Caenorhabditis elegans: one gene and its partners. The protein of the gene in region 2 interacts with the protein of the main gene of each other region in a pairwise test. Each region holds a gene or a part of one and is shown on either strand. Other genes may lie near its edges. The genes, in order: nhr-6, rpt-6, T28C6.7 and elt-2.

Region 1 (7,263 bases), 8.8 Mb from region 2:
TTGACGCTTTTGGCCAACCCGTGACGTCACACAGAACAGTTTGAGGCGAACCCTAACATTTTGAAAACTTTAATATTAAAAGGAAATAATGTCCCGATTGTTCTTGCACGGACGTTTCGCGGGTTCCGCGGTTCAACCAAGTTCAGCACAGTCCAGAACAGAAACTTTGCGCGTAAATTATGATACAGTAGGTCAATGCCCCTTAAAACGTGTGACGTCACACACTTCTATTTGAGGGGACACATGCCTTCTTCACTTCGAAAAACCTTCAAATTTCAGGGAAGAAGTGCCCAGACTTTGCTCATCCGGAGCCCATCATTGACGACCGTGGATTCAGCCGCTGCGAGCTGAAAACCGATCTGAAAACCGCGTTCCAGTACATGAGACGTAACAAACGACAAATGCGAAATAATTTTTGTTAAGCTTCAGACCTTTTTCTCCAGGAATTGCTCTCTAAACTTCAGTATACCCCTTCCCCACAGTATTCTTGTCCCTCTCTCTCCGGTGCTTTGTAATAAAATGAAACAATGTAAAAATATATAATTTATGGTTTTCTTTTTCTATACAATAATTTCAAGAAATATCAGTTAAAATAAATAAACTCTGAAAATTGAAACAAAACAAAATTGATATTCGGGGATTGGAATTCACACAAAAACTAGAGGCTTTTCATAAAATAAAAACCGAATGGGGGGACAAATTCTGAGAGATTTGAGGTTCAAGGAGCAAAAATTGTTGGGAAAGTACCGGTAACAAGTTATTTGAAATTTTTCTGGAAGTGATTTTTTGTTTGAGACAGTAGTGGGGAAACAAAATAAATTAGAAATCTTTGCGATATGCAATTCAATGGGGCTAGCGATTTTGAAAAATATATTAATTTTAAATTTTTAAAATTTTAAACATTTAAAAAATTTTAAAAGGCAGCCGGGCCCATTTGGAAGTTAAAAAGTGAACTTCCAGATGGGGCAACTGGGCTTCCACAAGCTGGCGGTGCATCCGTAGATCGTAATGGAGCACGTGTAAGATTGATAAGGAACATGAACTCTTCTGGAAGCTGGTGTGATGGATAGAGAATGTCCAGGGCCTGGAGTCCAAGAGCATGGAATACATCGAATTCTTGGGTCTGAAAATTGAATAGTTAGTGTTATACTAGACATCCTACTTGCATGTCAGTCTGGAATACTTGCTCTCAGTGCAACCCTCAATAAAAAATAAAAATTTTGCTTCCTGGCAGACATGGATTAGCATTAGAAGCGTGCAAATTTTGCCCTCAAAGCGTGTTACAAGGCTTCCCCGCTAGATTCTACGTCACACGTTGAAAATGACAAACTTACCAATCTAACGATCTTGGCCAATTTGTTCTGAGATCCGCTGCAATGATCCTTGAGAGCATTGATGATGGTACTTTGAACCTGGTCGACGAGAGGTTTGTTGGTCAATCCAAGTACGTTATGTTCTGAAAAAATTTTGAAATTATGAAATGAGGAGTAGATAAACTTTGCTGAAGCTTTTTAGGGTTTAAATTCTACACACCTGTGTTTCCAGCCAAAAATTGAAGAGCAATAAAGGCGGCGAATGCCTGAGGCTCCCAGTCAACCAATGAGCTGAAGGTTCGTGCTTTGTCAACCATGAATCGAATGATTTGTTGGAAGCAGGCAGGGAACGCGTTCAACGAGAAAAGCTCTCCAGACTCGAACATAATTGTGTCGGTGCTGTTGCCACATCGGTTTGCCACGCGGATTGCCATGATTGCGAAGAAAGATCTGCTGAGGAGGATCTGGAAGTCGGCTGGCTGAATCTCGGAAATTTGTGGCATTGCCATGAGAAGCTTCTTGGTGGCATGAAGCTCTCCGTGCAGGATTCTCAGTGCGATAGTCTCATCGAATGGTTGCATCTAAATGATAAACATTTTCCAAAAGAAATGCTAAATTTCCGACTTACAAATTGCCGGACAACAGTCATATTTGTATGATCTTCAATTGCTTTTCCCATCAAAGCTAGAAGAGGAAGCGGTGGAGATGGTTGATCCTCTGATCTTGCCAACTTCGTCTTTGACGACAAACGTCCACGTCTCCCCGATAGAGAACCATGTCGAACAACTGAAATATCACAAATAATGAACATTTCCCAAAGGGTACACCTACTTTCTTTGACCATGCCGACTTCCAAACACTTTTGATAGCGACAGTACTGGCACCGACTACGGTATCGCTTGTCGATTGGGCAGGTCTTGTTACCAGCGCAAGTGTATTTGGAGTTCTTCTGCACAGTTCGCTTGAAGAATCCTTTGCATCCTTCGCAAGTTCTGGCTCCATAGTGCAGGCAAACAGCTCGATCATTGCACACAGCGCACATTTTGTCAGCGTCAAGAGCTGTTTCCGATGGGACACCGAATGAGGTTGGTGTGGAGAGGTTGTCGGGGTTGAGGAAGGATCTGAAAGTTTTCTTTTTTTTTTAATTTCAAATTTAAAATATCAAATTTCAAATTTCAAAAACGAACCTTAAGAAGCCTTGCAACTGCGGGGGTGACGTTGGCAGAGAGCTTGAATGAGGCGATGGTGTTCCGCCGGTATTGTTCGACGAGCTCGTTGTCCCCTGACTTCCACGCCTGGAATCCGATACCGGAAAGTGTTGAGGATAGAATGGAGATGTGAATGAAGGCATCAAGGGATTCGGCATGAAATCATTCGAAAGTCTGTAAGAAGAAACAATAGAAATCCTCTCGTGGAAGCACCAGCTTATGCTCTCAATGGAGGTTAATCCTCGGCTCGATGTACTACGTAGAAAACACGAAGCAAAAGTAATTCACACGTGGTTATCTGTGACGACACTTACGCGAATGGATTGTAATGCGGTGCGGCGGTTGCCAGGAAAAGATCGTTGTGTGGCATTTGAAATGCTTGCATAGTTGGGTCAAGTTCACTTTTGATATGGGTGATTGAGGCGTTCATTTCGGATGGTAAACGGTGACTGGAGGAGGATGGTTTCTGAAATTATTAAAAGTTTATAATTGTGTGCAGAATGAAGCTCTTACCTGCTCGAATTCTTCGGGGATACTCTCGACTTCGGTTTTCGTGGGCTTTGGTACAGTGTTCACCTGATCGCTTGTCTCCTGCAAACTTTCAATTTCAGACTTTATAAAGCCCATAAGTCCGCTAAGATCATCTCCGAGCCTGACCACAGGCTTGTCAATTTTGCTAGCTGTCCGTTTGCTCATCATAACTGTAGGGTGCAGGGGGGAAGTAAGTATGAATATATGAAAAGTGCGCTTCTATCAAACAGCTGATTAGGCGGCTGCCCAGGAAAATTTCAAGGGGCGGAGTCCAGAGCCCTGAGCATTAGCTGCGACAAAAGAGCATACACGAGGAATTATGTCAGTCCACGCCCCGAGACCACCTAAGAGTGATGACGACGTCGCTGACAGAAGCCAAAAAAGAATGAGAGGTGACACTTTGAGGATATAATAGAAACAGGTTTCCCAGAGAGACCATCAAATCAAAATCGAAAGTAAAGAGTTTTCGAGATGGATGAAAGGAAGAAGAAAGACGACAAATTGCGGGGTGTTTCATGCCAAATTTTGGTGTGGACACAGAGGACTGAAGGGGGAGCCAAATGGCACGTGTATCTATCAATTAGCCGGATGATAGTGGGTGTATGTGTTTGAGCAAAACTGAAGGTTAAGCCAGCATTTAAATATTTTTCGGGTTTTCGGACTGTTTATGTGAGGAAGTTAAGAGTTTTTTTGGAGCAGAAAACAAGAAAAGAGCTATGAGAGCTAAACTTTTTGTACTCTTCTCTGGTCTAAAATGACGCAGAGCCTGTGGGCTGAAAATATTTGTTGTAGTCCTCGAAAAATTACCGCCTACATGGCTAAGCAAACTAGAAATAAAGAAATTATCTCGAGAGCTCCAAAAACGTTCTAAAGCCTTAAAAATGCAGGGCGATTTTATTGAGAAATGCTAAAAATGGGTCAAAAATATCAAAAATCATACTTGTTGAAAAGGCCATTTTCGAGCATTTTTTCCAATGGTTCAAGTGGGCAAAATCTGATTTTCAGATAAATCAATATGCATATATTCCTGATTTTGACAGTAATTTTCAATGAAAAGTTGGGTCTAAATTCAGAAACTCGGAGCCATTTTTGTGGGGGGCTACTCTAGTTTTTTTTTTGGGATTTTTGATACATTTTTTTACATTTCTAGACTCTCATAAATTTTGAGCAGTGGGAAAAATTAGAATTTTTTTAAAAAGTTTCTAGAATTCAAATTTTTTAGAGGTTGAAACATTGATTTTGAGTGAAAAAAAATAGTCGACTTCCAAAAACTTCTAAACAACTTGCCAAATTTTCTAAAATGGTCTACTTTTTACAGTAGCCAAAAAAGAAAGCAGCAACATCAAAAGAAACACTACTAATAAATGAATGACATTTTGGTACAAGTGACTTGTTAGCATTAGGGGTCCCACCCCTGCTGCTACTGTCTCTATGACTAATGGCAAATACCATTGCGCCAACACCCAAAAAAAAAGAAAGAGAAAGACTACTACTAGTTGGGTGGAAAAGTTGTAGAATGAATTTGAAACGAGAAATATTTCTCTCCAACCAACACCACTCGTGGCTCTCTCTACAAGTGATCTCACCTATCCAATTATCTTTCTAATAAGCGGGCACGAAATGTGTTGGGAAAGTGCAGGGTGATTCGACAGGAAACAATGACTGTGTTGAGAGGGGATGCCAAGTTTGAAATGAAGTGGGAAACGAGGAGTCGGGTGATATTATTCACATGTTCCCACTCACACCTTTTTTTACCGCCGGAAAAAAGTTCAAAAAAATTATAGCTCAGAAAAGGATTATACCAATTTTCTCCCACAGATTTGAAAAAAAAGGTTTCATGGGAATCTTAAAAAAGTTCTTGGAAAAAGAGCTCACCACAAGAGAATGGAAAAGGCTGTCGAGGTCGGCATCGGTGGTTTTGGAGCCTTTGCGAGACGAGGAAGATGGTCCAAACTCTCCTGAAACCAATAATTAGGAAGAAATGGAAATTTTGTGAATTACCGTAGTCGAATGATGAGGAGCACGAAGAGTTTTTCGACATCTCGCGGAAGAAGTCCCTTCGCAGAGGTTCTTCGTTACGCACGAGGCGTGTGTAGATTTCGATCTTAAAAAATAAAATTTAAATTAAAGTTTTTGCCAGATTTTGTAATATCTCATTTTCCGTTGTTTCTGGGCACATGATTTTTGAGTTTTCTGTTTTTTTGGGATTGTGCAATTTTTGTATTTTTTTTTCTATAATTCTTAAGCCCAAGCCTAATCCTAAGCCGAATCCTAAGCATAAGCCCAATCTTGTTTAGGCTTCCAGAAGATGAGAATAAGAATACTTACTTCGTCCTCCACGCTGGAGCAGGATGAGTAGCTACTATCGACAGAAGCTGGCGAGCAGTTGGAAAACTGAAAATTTACCACATATAGAATTTACCACATATCTTTTCCACCGAACTTTAACAGTTTTTCTGGTACACCTGCCAGTTCGCCTACTCAAAAAAAAAAAGAAATAGGTTAGGGTACCTGATCTTGCAACTCGTCCGTTTGAATACTAAGTTGTTCCATTCAGTCGGACAGACCGCGCATCCGATTAATGAGCGGTCGATATAAGGAGTTGTAAGATTTGAATGAAGAAAGATGAAGAAGAAGTGAGAGAAGAGCTCTAGTAGTGGTCAATCTGAAAATGTTCAGAATTTTAACGAATTTTCAGATTGGGTGAGTGGGAGAGAGAGAGAGACGATCGGGAATTATATAGTGTCAAACAATTGAGAAGGCGGAGTAGCAGCTCGTGGCGCGTCATCAGAAGCACCTAAAAATGCACATGTGCAGGTGATTTGACACTGTGACAACTGATCGAGCAGCAACACTAAAAAAGTCAACAACATGTGTTCTTGCCCGTCTTGAATGGAATATTCACCTGCCCGCGCCTTGATTATCTACGTAATTTCAGGAAAGGAATTTTGACGACACCACCGGGCCGGCTAAAATTAGAAGTGGTCACTCTAAAAGCAGAATCAGCCTTTTTTTCATTGTTTCCAATTCTGTGAGCTCAGAGTTTAGCGATCGAATCGCTTCGATATACTATGTAGGTCAGCTCTCAAAATCAATGAGGAGATCCCAATGTACAGGTGAGTGGTTACTGTAACAGTTAACTTCTATGCCTGCTGCCGTGCCTACAACTGACCTACGGCTACTGTTATCTGCATTAGGGGAGTTGAAGGCACGCAGGTAGGCATAGGTACTTGCAAACCCATCAGTTAGCATCTATGTCTAGAGCTAATTAATCTCTGAGCTAGTTTGTGACTTCATCACAGGTGCAAGATATTTTGTACGTAGACAATTTAAATCCAAAAATGCATGCAGAGTGGGAAGTGTGAAAAGGTCGGAAAATTGCGTCAGCTGCTGCTCTAGACAATGGAAAAAAAGGAAAAAATAGAAAGTATGTGCACCGGTGAAATTATTTAGTCATTTCAAGGGCATTTTCATGATAAGGAGAGTTGTTCGGTAAATTGGGTGCTACGCAAAAACTAATGCAAAAGTGAAAAATATTTTTTGCATAAATGATCTACAGAAAAATTATCTTTCCGGAACAGTCGGAACAATAAATTTCTACGACTAAATGAGCATTATTATATACCAGAAACCGTAAAGGGAACTTATGATATCACTTCCTCCCGCCCATCTCACGACACATCATAACTGATCTGAACAATGGATCATTTTCCGAAAAACATACAAACCTCCGGGGGGATGTTCTAATTGGTTTGTCTATCTAGTTCTAGCTCCTGTGAGTAACAAGGCGTATCAGAAAACATATTTGGAAAAATATGCTAAATAGTAGGAAGGAAGCTGTAAATTACAAGAAAAACGTACATGTTGAGAAAAAATTTTGCGGTTTGTGGGAGCATTAGGAAATCTTTCGCAATGCACTGTTGCATAAGACTGTAGATAAAATTTGAGTTAGGAAATTTTTTTCGAGGAATCGGTTTTTGAGAGAAATGAGGGGCGTTAATTCTAAAAAATGTCCTATTGCACCAGGTGCAATGAGACCAAAATATTTTGATTTGATTATTTGATTAATTTGAAAATAGCATTTATTTGAGCTAAAACATTTGAATAAATGCTCAAAATAGCCTAGAAGTTGTCAATTGCTAGACAATTCGATAATGGATGAATGGCAATTTCCAGGTTATTTTTGAGAATTTTCTAATATGTTTCAGCTA
Region 2 (4,646 bases):
GATTGAAAAAGCGCGCGCACCCTGACACCACCGCGTTGCGGTCGCGTCACGGTCGAAATGCGCGCGCTTAGTAGGTGCGCTGCGGTCGCGTCGCGTGTTCGATCGATAACGTAGGATTTCGGAAGTGATGATGAAATAGGAGGTGTAGGAAATTGCGAAATTCTCATAAAATTTGAAAAAGTTGCTGAATTATTCAAGACTACGTATTTCTAAATTCTTTTCTAAAAAAATTAGTTTTGTTAAGAAGTTTTCTGCTGATTTTCCTGATTTTAATGGATAATCCCGTAAAACCGCACTGAAATTCTCGCCGCGACGCGGCCGCTTCGCGCATAAACGTGGCATCTAACTAGGTCGAAATCGATGCTAAGCCGATAAATTCTTAAGAAACATCTACTTTAATGGACTACTTCCAACCTATACCGAAAAAGGCTGTCAACTCGAGAGTACAAAATAAGCCTGTGGAAAAAAAAGGAGAAGAAATGAGCCAAATTGCAGTATAAAGCCCGCAAAATGGTCCGAAAAGTTGGGAGAGCGCGCGCGCACACGCACGCACCTCTCATCACGACGACAAACAGAACAACTGACAATATATATTCGAATGGTGTCGGGGCGGGGCGGGAACGAGTAAGAAGTACGAAGCCAAATTGGTGTCCACACTATAACGTTTGATACTCAGCCAACACGAAGACACGTGACGACACAGAGAGCAAAGACTTGGCATTGTGCCAAGTCTCCGCCTCCTCCCCCCTTTTGTCGTATCGATTTTGTGGGGTCTGGACCAAATCCGGATTAAAGCTGGAAAACTTATGCCAAGAAATATCAAATCTTTCAAAAATCCTCATTGAAAATCTGGAAAATTAACTTTAAACTTCAGGTCGCGAAGGATCCTGAATCCACGTGGATTTTCAGAAAAATTACTAATCGGGCAAAATTTTTTAAAGAATTTCATTTCTAGCGATAACTTAGCGATTCATCCGTAGATTTTTATGAAATTCGAGTATATTAACCGGAATAAGGTAACGGACCAAACTGGAAATTTTCAGGAAAAAATATGCGAAATGAGCTGAGATATGAATTAAAATGCTGCGAAATTCGAATTTTCCAGACGGAACGAAACAACAAAATGCAAAAATTTTACGCGCGCTAGTTTAATCGGGGGGCCACTCTCTTGCAAACACACACTATTTCCGAAATGCGTGCCGCTTCTCTGCGGTCTCTTCAGTGTCGCCGCTGCTCTCGCGCGATTGCGGACTTTGAACGCATTTCTTGAGAAAATATAGTAAAAATTGGAGTTTCTTGGGATCGAGGAGGATTTTTTATTTAAAATATTCAAAGAAATTGCACTAATAGTAAAAAATCTGATTACTGTTCAAGTTGAAATTTCAAAAAAAAAAAAAAACAGAAACAGTAATTTTTCTCAATTCCACAGAAAATTGAAATACTGGATACTCTAAAAATATTCCTCTTCAAATATTAATATTTTCTAAATGATTTGAGGAAGTTTCAGAAAAAAACGCATTTCCAGATCTAAATAAAGGTTTATAACAAATTTCTGCGGGTAATTTTGAAGATAAAAACAGTAAATTGGACGAAAAATCTTTAATTTTCTAAATTTCGAAGAAAAACATCAAGAAATTAACATGAAAACGAGGAAATCAATCTAATATTTCTTTAAATTTAACGTAAACACAACTGTGCATTTTTGCGTCGGCGTGTACAGCATTGCGTACGTGGCGCCACAATTGACGCCATATTGGTTCTCCGGTTGAAATATCATCATTTTTAAAGTTTCTCAATTTTTATCAGTTTTCAAGGTTTGAATTCGTTTTTTTAGGCGATTTTTTCGATAAATTGGCTTGAAAATTCAATTTCCAGGGAAAAATGAGAGATCCACACGTTTCTTGTCGTGTTATTTCAGTTTTTATTAGTCTCAACTTATTTAAAGCTATTATTTATTTTTTCCAGTGTTAATGGCTCCACCTGCTTCTACTGCTTCATCAGCTGACCCTTCTAAGCCAACGGCTCAAAAATTGACCGAAGAATCCGATGAGAAAACTCTTCGCAAATATTTCAGCACAAAAGTCGATGATGCGCAGGTTTGTTGTATTTTTTAAAAAGTTTAGCCCAAGGGTTTATCAAGTATTTCAGCAAAAAGTGGCCGACAAATCACAAAATGTGCGTCGTCTGCAAGCTCAGCGTAATGAGCTCAACACAAAAGTTCGTATGCTGAAAGAAGAGCTTCAGCAGCTCCACGAGCAAGGAAGTTACGTCGGTGAAGTGAGCAAAGCCATGGATAAGAAGAAAGTTCTTGTGAAAGTTCATCCAGAAGGAAAATATGTCGTCGACGTGGATAAATCCATTGATATCAACTCACTGAACACAGGAGCACGTGTTGCACTCCGAGCCGACAGCTATGCTCTTCATAAGCTTCTTCCGAATAAGGTGGACCCGCTGGTTTCGCTTATGATGGTCGAAAAGGTTCCTGATTCAACATACGAGATGGTTGGAGGTCTCGACAAGCAGATCAAGGAGATCAAGGAGGTTATCGAGCTGCCAGTCAAGCATCCCGAGCTCTTCGATGCTCTTGGTATTGCTCAGCCAAAAGGAGTCTTGCTCTTTGGACCACCAGGAACTGGAAAAACACTGTTGGCTCGTGCAGTTGCTCATCACACCGAGTGCACGTTTATTCGAGTTTCCGGCTCCGAGTTGGTGCAGAAGTTTATTGGAGAAGGAGCACGAATGGTTCGTGAGCTCTTCGTGATGGCTCGTGAGCATGCTCCATCGATCATTTTCATGGATGAAATCGATTCGATCGGATCTAGCAGAGTTGAAGGATCCAGTGGTGGAGATTCGGAAGTTCAGAGAACAATGCTCGAGCTTCTCAATCAACTGGATGGATTTGAGGCGACGAAGAATATTAAGGTGTGCAAAAGGAGCATATTGACCGAATATCAGGATTTAAAAAATTCAAAAAAAAACATTTTTTCTAGATTTTATATAATTTTTTGAAAATTGAAAAAATTTCAGTTTTCCCTAATTGCTATTTAAATTACCGCCAATTAAACTCGTTCGTTGGAGCGCGCTTGCATTATTTTTATTAATTTTTTAAAAAAATTATTCTCATCATTATTTCACTGATTTTCTTCATTTTTTGGGGTTTTTTCATCGGAAAATGAAAGAAATAAATAAGAAAAATGCAAATTGTTCATTAAAAAATAACTGAAAATGCCTAAAACAGGTGAAATTATGTGTTCCGACGACGACGAGCCTGAAATTAATATTTTTCGGACTTTTTAACAAACATTTTGCATTTGTCTTGTTTATTTCGTTTATTTTCCGATTAAAAAACTTCAAAAAATGAAGAAAATCAGTGAAATAATGAGAATAAATTTTAAAAAATTAATGAAAATACTACAAGCGCGCCCCAACGAACGAGTTAAATTGGCAGTAATTTAAATAGGAATTAGGGGAAAACTGAGATTTTTTCAATTTTCAAAACAAAAAAGCATATAAAATCTAGAAAATTTTTTTGAATTTTTTAAATCATAATATTCGGTCATCCCACTTAGCGTAGTCCACCTATAAATATTCCAAGCTTCTATATATAAATGTTCAGGTCATCATGGCAACCAATCGTATCGACATTCTCGACCCCGCACTTCTCCGTCCCGGCCGTATCGATCGTAAGATTGAGTTCCCGGCTCCAGATGAGAAGGCTCGTGCCGATATCCTCAAGATTCACTCGCGCAAGATGAACTTGATGCGAGGTATCAACATGGCCAAGATCGCCGAGCAAATTCCCGGAGCATCGGGAGCCGAAGTCAAGTCGGTGTGTACCGAGGCTGGCATGTTCGCGCTCCGTGAGCGACGTATTCATGTGACGCAGGAGGATTTCGAGATGGCTGTTGGAAAGGTTATGCAGAAGGATTCGGAGAAGAATATGTCCATCAAGAAGTTGTGGAAGTAAAAATAAAAATGCAAATTTCGACTTTTTTTATCGATTACCCCCCCCCCCCTTTCACTGATTTTATTGTAAAAAATGGACCCTATTTATTTATTGTCTTTGACCTCCCGTGCTCTCCTTCTTTTGCTGAATAATGCAATCTTTATTCGAAAAAAAAACGTCTAAATTTCTAACAGGATTATTCATTGCTTCCCATATTTATTCGAGATTCCCTTTTCGTCTAAAAAGTCGGAAATCTCTCCGTCTTTGTGCATTGAAATGAGAATATCACATCCGCCGACGAACTCTCCCTTCACATAGACTTGTGGAATTGTTGGCCATTCGCTGAAAATCTTGACACCTTCTCTTAGCTCCTGATCGGTCAGAACGTTGTAGTCTTGGAATTTTACATTGTGGAAGTCGAGAACCTGAAATGGGAAAATGTGATTTTTTGGGATTTTTTCTTTTTTTTTTTAAAGCGAAACTATTACGGTAGCACTAAATTCTGAGAATACGTATTGCACAACACATTTGACGCGCAACATATGAAATATCTCGCAGCGAAAACTACAGTAATCCTTTAAATGACTACTGTAGCGCTTGTGTCGATTTACGGGCTCTATCAAAGCTGGTAAATCGACACAAGTGCTACAGTAGTCTTATTTAAAGGATTACTGTGTAGTTTTCGCTACGAGATATTCCA
Region 3 (4,691 bases), on a different chromosome or scaffold from region 2:
CTGTTTCACTGACCAATTTATCATCAGACCTCTTGTATTGTCAACACAAAACAATGTTTCTCTAATTTCTCTATATGTCTGCCTGTCTGTCTGTATATCTGCGTGCCGTTTCTCTCTATGTCTATCTTTAGTTGATTGTGATACTTTAGGCGAAAACAGTGAGGTGGCAGTCGAGCGGATACTTTGTCCTTTCTCTCCCATCGATTATTGACACGCTGCGTCCCACATTAATTTTTTTTTGCATTATTGGAACACGATTCGATGTGGCAAGTGAGTTTAGGCATAATTTATTCTCATAAACGGAGAAGCACGTATGAGCTTCCAGATATGAAACTGCTGCACACCTTCTTCAAACACTTTTTAAAAAGTTTTTAAAGCTTAAATTTCAGATGTAAAACTTCAAAACCATCATGTCATCCACTACATCTTCTAATCTGTCATGTCCGGCTTGCACTCAGAAAAAAGTGAAAAGCCGTTTCAGTTGGCGAGCAATTTTATACGCAATTTTTTGCTTTCCGTGTGGAATCTACTGCTGCATGAAACGGAAAACATACTATTGCACACAATGTCAATGTGATGTGAGTTTTTTCTTTCAAAATAAAATTAGAAGGCTTAGTTCTTATGAAAATGAGAGCTTTAGTTATAATTTCTAAAGAAATGTATTGGTGTTCTGCAATAGCTAATGTCTTATCTCGTTTTTAATAAATCAAATGTTGCAGGTGGTTAAACGTACTGAAACCCGTGCTATTTTACCAAGAACTCCCGGATTGGGCTACAACTTCCGTTTGTACGAATCTACAAAAACGGCTCTTCCAGCTAGTTTTGCTGCATATCGTAATCCGGCAATGACAGCATCATCCACAGATTCTACAGTTTCCACCACACTATCAACTGCACCAATTGTGGATTAATTTTTTGAATTTTTGATTTCGCCAGGGTTTCAAAAGGGGTTTGTTACGTTTAAGTAATTTTCATAAGTAAATATTTCCGATTATTCTGATACTTGATCAGAAGTTTTAAATGATACTTATCCCATTTTTCTTTACAAAAAAGTCTCCTATCGTCTCACCATTTGATTTCTTGTCACTTTGCTCTTTTTCGCGTTCCAAAGCCAATAGTTTCGTCTCGAAAGCTTTTGATTTTATCAGTGCTCGATGATCGACCTGTAAATTATTTGAAATATTTTTCAGTTTCTTTTTCTGTTTGATTTTGGTCAATTAAACTACGGGTTTCAGTGTGATTAATTACATAACTTTGAAACGTATATTTCCAGAATTTTTCCGTTAATAAATATAATACTTTTTCTTTTTTATAGATATTTCAATTGACTTTTCTCTAGACTAGAAATTTCGAGATGTTAAAGATTTTCTTATGGAAAAAATGAGCTTCAACAGGAAATAAAAATCTTACCTGTGAAGCACCCAAATTCTCTCTCAAAAGTCCAATATGTTGCTCATAGATGACAATATCAGCTTCAAGAACTTCAATAAATCTATCCTGTGCTTGAATGGCATCCTTCAATCGGTCAATGTCCTCAAAAATAGCTTTTTTCTGACATTGATTGTAGTTGATAGCGGATTCAGCTTGAAGGAGATCTTCAACCATCAATTCCATCAGCTTTTTAGATTCGTCAACTTCTGAGCTCAAGGATCGTTTGGCTACTTCACTAGCATCTAACTCTGTTGTCAACTTGTGAACTTTTTCTTTCAAATGAGCAACTTGATCACGAAGAAGAGCATTTTGTTCTATTTCCCAATTTCGAGAAGATCGGAGAGTGTCAACTTCTTCTTGAAGACGATCCCTCTGAAAATTGGAAACGTTTCTATACAAAATGATATATTCATCTATTTCACTTACCTCATCTTCATATTTTCCATTGATATCTTCAAGTGTAGTTTCCAACTCCTTGATTCTTGCAGTCGCCGCAACCTTTGCCTTGAGTCCAGCAGTTTTTGCCTCTTTTGTGTATTTGAGAATTTCAGATTCATAGTCTGCTTTCATTTTTTCAACAGATGAGTTTAGTTCGATAACTTGCTGACGGAGTAAAGCATTTTCAGATGAAGCTTCTGTTAAAGCAGACTCGAGAGCGTCTGAAGTTGAAGAAGACATTGAAATGGTGGGATAGCGGGAAACAGATGTAGATGGAAAATTGGAAGATGTTGATGTTCCAATTGAAGAACCATTTGGATTTAAATCAAAAGTTACACGTTTTCTTTGATGTTTCCTATGGATTCCGTCAATATCTGGAAGAGCGCTCAGTTTGCTAGATGGATCAAATGGAGGATCCAATGGTGGAGGAGAGAAGGTTCCCGATGAACTTGAGACCATCGTTTCTGAAAAATAGATCAATTCAATTCCGTTAAACTTTAAAAAAAAGTTTTATATCGTCACAATTTTCAATTTCTAGCCGTGTGCTCAATTTTCGAGCTTATTTTCAAGAAAAAGAGGAGCATACAAATTACTTGGGCAAGCTACCTTTAGATTACTGTAGGTTACAGTTGTCCTAACACGTCTAAGATCAGCAATTTTCCTGTTTGGGAATAATAAAAAAATTCTAAAAATAAAACTGAACGTCATATATATTCAGAAATGGTGCATGACAACTTCATTTTTTTTTAACCAAAAAACTTTACTCACTTCTCTGTGCAATGACATGACCTGGAGATGAACTTCTTGCTCTCCGTTCACTCTTTGAATTTGATAATGGTACTGAGGAATGAGCCATCAAAGAAGGCTCAGTTTCTGTCGACATATCCTTCTTGTCTCTATTCATTTCTTCAAATTTTTGTTGAACAATTCTCATTGCTTGATTTTTGACTGAAGCAACTTCATTGTGCTCACGAACTCTTTCCTAAATACAACTCCAATATGAAACCACAGAAACAGAATAATTCTCACCTGTAAGTCCAAAATTTGCCTTTCTTTATCCAATATCACATTATTTAAATCTATAATTCGGTTATCCTTATACACCAGTTGTTGATGAACCCGTTCATCGATCCGTTTGTCGGCCGATTTTTCTTTTTCTTTGGAGGTTTTGTCCTCCATTTCTGAAAAGTATTATATTTGTATTTAACGTATTTAAAAAGTGACAGTATACTTCAAGGACGTGAAGAAACAATGAGAAGAAAAGAAATTTGAAAATTATAGTTTAAAAAAAGGGATGACGTAAAATTATTCAAAAACTTTTTAAATAATTTGTAAATCCAGAATAAATTTTCTGCGAGAGATTGGAGAGAGAAACAGAGAAACCCCGTTCCACGTAACGGAGAGGCGCTGAACCCACGTGGAAAGCTCACATTTTAATCTCACGCAATAATATGCGTCTCACGTTTTTTTTTCAAAAAGTTTTCCGAACACATCCTTTTTTTTCTAAAATTTTTTAATCTTCCGACACTACTTGAGAAGTCTTATAATGGATGAAAAATCGTTTTTTAAAGTTAATAAACTGATTAGGTATAAGGAGCATGCCAAAAATATATTCACTTTCAGTTTTTTGATAATGTTGCAAATTATTCAAAAGTATAACTCGTAACCTAGTTATCAGAAGTATAACTAACAAAATATTTATTTTTGTATTTAAAGGTTGCTGAAGTAAAATAATTTTCATTTACTGTTTCATTTTTTAACTATAATAATAATATACTCTAGAAATTCCGCTTTTTTTGGTACTAGTGAATATAATTAACTTATTTGAACAAGTATACAAAAGTAAAAATAATTTGCTTCTGAATTAGCTTCTGAATTAGTTTCGGAAATAGTTTCGGAATTCATTTTAATCATTCTCAACAATATCAAAAACCAAAAAAGGTTGCTTCTTTGGCTAGCACTGTGAATTAATACAGCAATTTAAATATAGGTTATATAACTAAATTTGAAACATAAGGAAGAATATATGAAACGACTTAAAACAGTTACAAATCTACGTGCAATTTAATTCCTGAAGAATCAAAAATGAAGTTTTAACACGAAATTCTACAAAAAACTGGTTCGAATTAGTTCCTTTCGAGAGACACGTCGACCAACACGGCACCCGCGTTATTGATTTTCTGCTGACGCACATTCGTTTGCGGTGGCGCATTTCACTTTCGCGGTGACCATTGACATAGTGTATGGGCCAAATAATGGGAGAGCTCGGTGAAATATTAGTGACATTAAATACGGATATTAATTACAAAAAAGAAATCGATGGTAAAAATAACCAAATGACTATTTTGGCATGAAAAAACATGACTTTTCAATTTTTATTTTCTGTTTTGGAACTCTTCATGTAGGCCATTTTAAATCATTAGTTTTCTGTGCGGTGTGTATTCAGAAAAGTTAAAGTAAGCATTGAAAACTGTGAACAAAACGTTATAAGAACACGTCTCATTGTCTGTCAGTACATGAGAGCACGATGTAAAAAAGCAAAGCACACAACTGATATTTTTGTTAAAATAATTTCTGTCTTACTAAAGTTTTTGGGTCAAGATAGATCAAACAGCATCGAGAAGAAAATTTACTAAGTTTGGTAACCCATGAAACACAGTTCTCTTTCTATTTTCAAAAGGCATTTGTGTCTATTAAGCTCATCAGTTCTTCTGAAAAATCAGCATTACTGATAGCATAAATTCTAGGCTTTTCAGGTCATTGTAATAATTCGATAAACCATTCCAAATTTCGAACTAGGAGCATTTTTAAGAATATTGTTT
Region 4 (4,356 bases), on a different chromosome or scaffold from region 2:
AAAAAACAAGGAAATTAGGTCAAAATATTGGAAAAATGGCGGTCCAACTTCTATAGCACCCCCTCTGATTTTTGACAATTTTCGGTAAAATCGGGGTATTCTTTGCAATTAATAAATTTATTTTGAAAGAAACTTCACACCAGCATAAGTTTTTCAACATGCGCTACCGAACTGTTTCAAACCGCCAAATTAGAGGGGGGGGGGGGGGGCAAGAGAAGTTGGACGCACTGTATATTATGCCATTTTTCAAAAATTTAAACAGCCATTGCAAACTTTGAGAAGTCTCATTTCAAAATTTGTTAATATGGGCGCAAACCTTGGCAATGAAATACGCGGTATCAATCTTCTTGGTTCACAGGTGCCCGGCGTCGTTGAAAAATAAATTAGTGTATTTTTTAAATTTTTTTTGAAGAACCCGTAATCAGAAATATTTGCTAATTTGAAATAACAAAGTTTTGCTACAGTATCATAAGTTTTGAAGTTTTATGACGCTTTTACGATATCCTGTAGTTAATTTCCATCATTTACATCTAGAACACCCAGAACCATAATAATTTTATTAAAAACTAAAAGTAGGGTACACATGTTTGTATAATTATTAGAGTTAGTATTTAGAGAAAAAATATTTAAAACATTTTGAAACTATACAAGTATGGATGAACACTTTGAAAACACTTTAAAAAGGCAGTTATTGCAATCAGTATGATAAATAATACAAATATGGTTTTTTTTTTGAGAATACAAAACTATGCATTAAAATGGACAACTTTGGAAGAGCTGAGCAATATTTCTATATGTTTAAGAATCTCCGTCGACCGCTTCCAAATCGCGAGCCGCAGCTTTGGTTTCATCATCCTGAACTGGCATCACATGAACTTGGATGTTCTAAAAAGTATTCCTTATGAAATGAAACAAACATGAAAGGTGAGCACTCGATAAGGTAATATATTTGACAACTGTTTGGTGTGTACATGGGAAAATATTGGGAAAAGCAACTCAACCGGTGGGATAAGCGAGGAAGTGGCAAACAGCTTCATACTCACATCGGCAGGTCTTAGGCCAGTCTGGTAGTTTGTTGCTGCATACACGTAGTTTTGATCGTTTGGAACTGAAATAAAATAAACTTTGAAAAGCTTGAATATCTTAGAGGGCTTGAATGCAATATTATGAAGTTATGTTTTTGTTGTAATTAACGCTATCCACCATTAATACCATACTTTAAGTACTATTTCAAGGTTAGTAGTTTTCATTTTATAAAAGTTGATCACGTACCCATCATCAACCCAGCTGTAGCGGCAGTGTTCCATTGATAGTAATTACTGTACGTTTGATCTGGCAAGGTGACGGCAGCTGAGGAAACGGGATACAAGTCGGCATGTGACACATATGTGGCAGTCGCAGCTGCGACGGCAGCAGTGCTCAGTTCTCGGTCTGCTTTTGCACTTCCCGCACGCCGGTTAGATGACCTTTGAGCCTTTTCGGTCGAAGAAGAGGCTCTCTCAAACTTCCTTTCTCGGGCCCGTGACGTTGATGGTGTGGAAGAGTCTCCGCTTTTTGATTTTCTCTTTCTTGTCTGTAAAGCACCTTCTTTCTTCATTGAGGTCGGCCGAGGGATGTGATGGAGTTTGAAGTAAAGCCCGCAAGCACTGAAAAACAAACCATTAGAAAAAAAAAAAAAAAAAAAAAACTCACTTGCAGACCGGATCTCCTTCAGCATTTCTTCTCCAGAGAGTTGTGTTGGTACCATTGCAATTGGAGCACACAAGTCCCTGCCGACGGGACGCAGATCCCTGTATTGATTTGTTGTACACTGTTGCAAACGAACTTTAACTTACGTTTGACCCCCTATTTGAGCTACTTGACTTTTTAGAGGATTGCTTGGCAATTTTAGCAGTTGGCTGCTCTGAAGGTATTTCCAGAATCGGGGGTTGTCCCAAAGAAGTGCTATACGCGACTGGAGGAGAATACGTGGTTTTTGGTGTTGAACAGTTGACGCACATCATTCTAGAAAATTATTCGTTGTAGTTTATTTCCAAACAGTGTACAGGCACATATTAATCCGGTAGTTTATTGAGTCATCGAAATTTTTCTAGCTTACCCTCCGTTTACTGCCTTCATCCCGGCCCCACAACTTTGTGAGCATTTGACGCATTCGTAAGTTGGAGCCACAGTTGGATAAGTAGAAGGGATGTTAATGGTAGGAATACTGGGGTCGTACAGAGAGGGTTTGTCGTATATGCTAAAGTTTGAATATGAAAGTAAGAACTTGAAAACATGACTTACGAGTTTGTATATCCCGAAAAAGTTCCAAGAGTGTTTACGGGAATTCCACTGTAAAGAGGATAAAACGGTTGCATGGTAGTTTGGTCCAACATTCCAAAGTTTGAGTAGTCTATGCCAGTATGGAAAACTAAAAGGAAGAATTAATCCAAATAACTTGAATTCACACTTACATGATGTAACAGTTTCCACTTTCGGCTCATAGTTATTTGTGCCACTTGTGATAACACTTTGCCGTTCAATTGGAGATGCGTAATCATTATCAATTTTCACTGAAATTTTATAATTTTATAATCCACAAGCATTTCAGTGTTTTGTTTACTTCTCGGTAGTTCACTCAATTGTGACTCATTATTTTGCTCTGGTGGATCCATGTTCTGAGTTGGTAGGCGCAGACCTCCCATTGGTTGAGATGGTTCCATTTCGGCCCAGCCGTTGACATTATCATTGTAGTTATTATCCATTCTATAATCTATTTTCTAGTTTCTATTTTATTAGAATGCCAAGAAAATCAAGCATTTATACATCAAAACTTATCAATGAAAACAGTGGCACCTAAAACATCAAGCAGTTTAAAAATTCAAAAATTCAAAAATGCTTCGAGAAGTGTATTTTCTTAAATACTGCCTTTAAAATTAAAACTATTTGAAGACAATTTTCAGACGAAGATATTACAATTAACATTTTCTTGCTCATTCCAAAAATTAACTGCAAAAATTAATTAAAATAACCCATAAAATAAGAACACAAAGATGTTAATGCCATAGTAACTTAGAAGATATCAGTGAAAACAGTGGCACCTCGATAGCTGTTCAACGATAAGACTAAAAATGATTGGGAAGTATAGATAGGCTGATTTTATCAAAAAGAAAATTGTCAATGAAGGCACAAAGCGTATTGGTTTGAAAAGAAAGATGGTGTGCACACCGAGCTCGGTGTGCATGATGGCTGGCTAGCGATTATGGCGTTAGTGTCGACTATTCTTATCAGTTTCAGCCCCGACCTCTGTCGCTCATATACGCAGACAACCACCCACTTCCAGCCAAACATGGGACTCGGGTCCGCCCATCATTGCATGTACGGTAGTTGGTAATTGAAAAAAGTGGAATGAGGAAGAAAATATTGGTTTCAAAGTAGCGTTTATAATAACTACAAAAAAATCAACTGAGGAGACAATAAGTAGATAAAACAGGCGATCAGACTTTTGATGGATACATATATCCAATTTTGCAAACAAACTTGAAAATTAAATTGAGTTTTTGCGTTTTCACTGAAACTTTCAAACAAGTTGCAATGCAGCTATTAATACTGCACATAGTAATAGTCTTGCTTTAATTTATTGCCAGAACAGATGTATCTAGTTAAAATGTTGATAAATTACTATCCTTCACAGAGTGAAACAAAATCAAAAGCTTTCAAGAATTTATGGTAATTTTTTTTAATTTGATAAGGCATCATTGTCAAAACTTGAATAATTTGTCAAAAGCTAGATATTCAAAAATTAGTATTGAACCTCAATTACCCTACAAAGTTTATAGTGCTCACCAATTGGAAATAAGTTTTGAATACAATACTAATGGAGAAAATACGGCAAACTATACATTTTTAACTTTTCACTCATTAGTTTTCATATAATTTTTAAACTGTGATGTCACACCATAATTTTAAAGACAAGAAAACATACAAATACATATAATTATCAATAAATGATATTATTATAAAATAAAAAACGCATATTTGTGAGATATGAAAAGTACGCCCTTCTATGTTTTTTTTCAAGAATACCGGATCAAAGGGTACGCTTTTTGTTACACAGTGTGTTTTACGGAAACATATTCAACATTTGGAGGACAGTTCTGTCTCCAAAGCTGACCAGTTCAACATTCTTATAAACAAAACGTGATGCGACCTTCAAGTTGTCTGGAACTTTTGTGATTCGGGCAGGATAAGGAGTATGAAGAATACAATAATGAAAAATAAAACAAAAAAAGATAACCTGTAGAAAAATTGATAATTTTCAGTTTTTTTCGATAATCAGCCACACACGCACATAATATTACTTCACACCCCACAATA

Evidence for each region.
Region 1: the proteins of rpt-6 (region 2) and nhr-6 interact in a two-hybrid assay, tested with the Caenorhabditis elegans proteins (2 studies listed by BioGRID).
Region 3: the proteins of rpt-6 (region 2) and T28C6.7 interact in a two-hybrid assay, tested with the Caenorhabditis elegans proteins (2 studies listed by BioGRID).
Region 4: the proteins of rpt-6 (region 2) and elt-2 interact in a protein complementation assay, tested with the Caenorhabditis elegans proteins (one study listed by BioGRID).

The regions. Positions count from the first base shown.
Region 1 is NC_003281.10:3,572,041-3,579,303, reverse strand, and holds nhr-6 (Nuclear hormone receptor family member nhr-6), read right to left. Parts: upstream 5,724-7,263; 5' UTR 5,606-5,723; coding exon 5,564-5,605; intron 5,454-5,563; exon of another isoform or gene 5,447-5,453; coding exon 5,381-5,446; intron 5,157-5,380; coding exon 5,054-5,156; intron 5,011-5,053; coding exon 4,928-5,010; intron 3,113-4,927; coding exon 3,035-3,112; intron 2,988-3,034; coding exon 2,836-2,987; intron 2,696-2,835; coding exon 2,501-2,695; intron 2,435-2,500; coding exon 2,145-2,434; intron 2,100-2,144; coding exon 1,942-2,099; intron 1,895-1,941; coding exon 1,534-1,894; intron 1,457-1,533; coding exon 1,335-1,456; intron 1,124-1,334; coding exon 914-1,123; 3' UTR 533-913; downstream 1-532. Other genes in the region: C48D5.3 (TIL domain-containing protein), read left to right, coding at 280-422. UniProt on the Caenorhabditis elegans protein: Transcriptional activator that induces gene expression by binding to the NGFI-B response element (NBRE) 5'-AAAGGTCA-3'. Required for proper morphogenesis of the spermatheca and the spermatheca-uterine valve formation.
Region 2 is NC_003281.10:12,368,491-12,373,136, forward strand, and holds rpt-6 (26S proteasome regulatory subunit 8), read left to right. Parts: upstream 1-1,965; 5' UTR 1,966-1,970; coding exon 1,971-2,096; intron 2,097-2,148; coding exon 2,149-2,922; intron 2,923-3,616; coding exon 3,617-3,967; 3' UTR 3,968-4,118; downstream 4,119-4,646. Other genes in the region: his-72 (Histone H3.3 type 2), read right to left, coding at 554-560; glrx-5 (Glutaredoxin-related protein 5, mitochondrial), read right to left, coding at 4,147-4,371. UniProt on the Caenorhabditis elegans protein: Component of the 26S proteasome, a multiprotein complex involved in the ATP-dependent degradation of ubiquitinated proteins.
Region 3 is NC_003282.8:8,826,161-8,830,851, reverse strand, and holds the start of T28C6.7 (Kinesin motor domain-containing protein), read right to left. Parts: upstream 3,049-4,691; coding exon 2,899-3,048; intron 2,852-2,898; coding exon 2,638-2,851; intron 2,334-2,637; coding exon 1,858-2,333; intron 1,804-1,857; coding exon 1,411-1,803; intron 1,304-1,410; exon of another isoform or gene 1,164-1,303; coding exon 1,070-1,163; exon of another isoform or gene 912-1,069; coding exon of another isoform or gene 720-911; intron 579-719; coding exon of another isoform or gene 411-578; exon of another isoform or gene 390-410; intron 271-389; exon of another isoform or gene 125-270; intron 1-124. Other genes in the region: T28C6.8 (Membrane protein BRI3), read left to right, coding at 411-578, 720-911.
Region 4 is NC_003284.9:10,479,629-10,483,984, reverse strand, and holds elt-2 (Transcription factor elt-2), read right to left. Parts: upstream 2,746-4,356; 5' UTR 2,745-2,745; coding exon 2,603-2,744; intron 2,553-2,602; coding exon 2,454-2,552; intron 2,411-2,453; coding exon 2,284-2,410; intron 2,240-2,283; coding exon 2,099-2,239; intron 2,005-2,098; coding exon 1,836-2,004; intron 1,791-1,835; coding exon 1,693-1,790; intron 1,647-1,692; coding exon 1,273-1,646; intron 1,109-1,272; coding exon 1,044-1,108; intron 886-1,043; coding exon 799-885; 3' UTR 544-798; downstream 1-543. UniProt on the Caenorhabditis elegans protein: Transcriptional activator that binds to the consensus sequence 5'-[AT]GATA[AG]-3'. Predominantly directs the transcription of intestinal genes such as ges-1, cpr-6, pho-1, ftn-1, vit-2 and lev-11, and itself.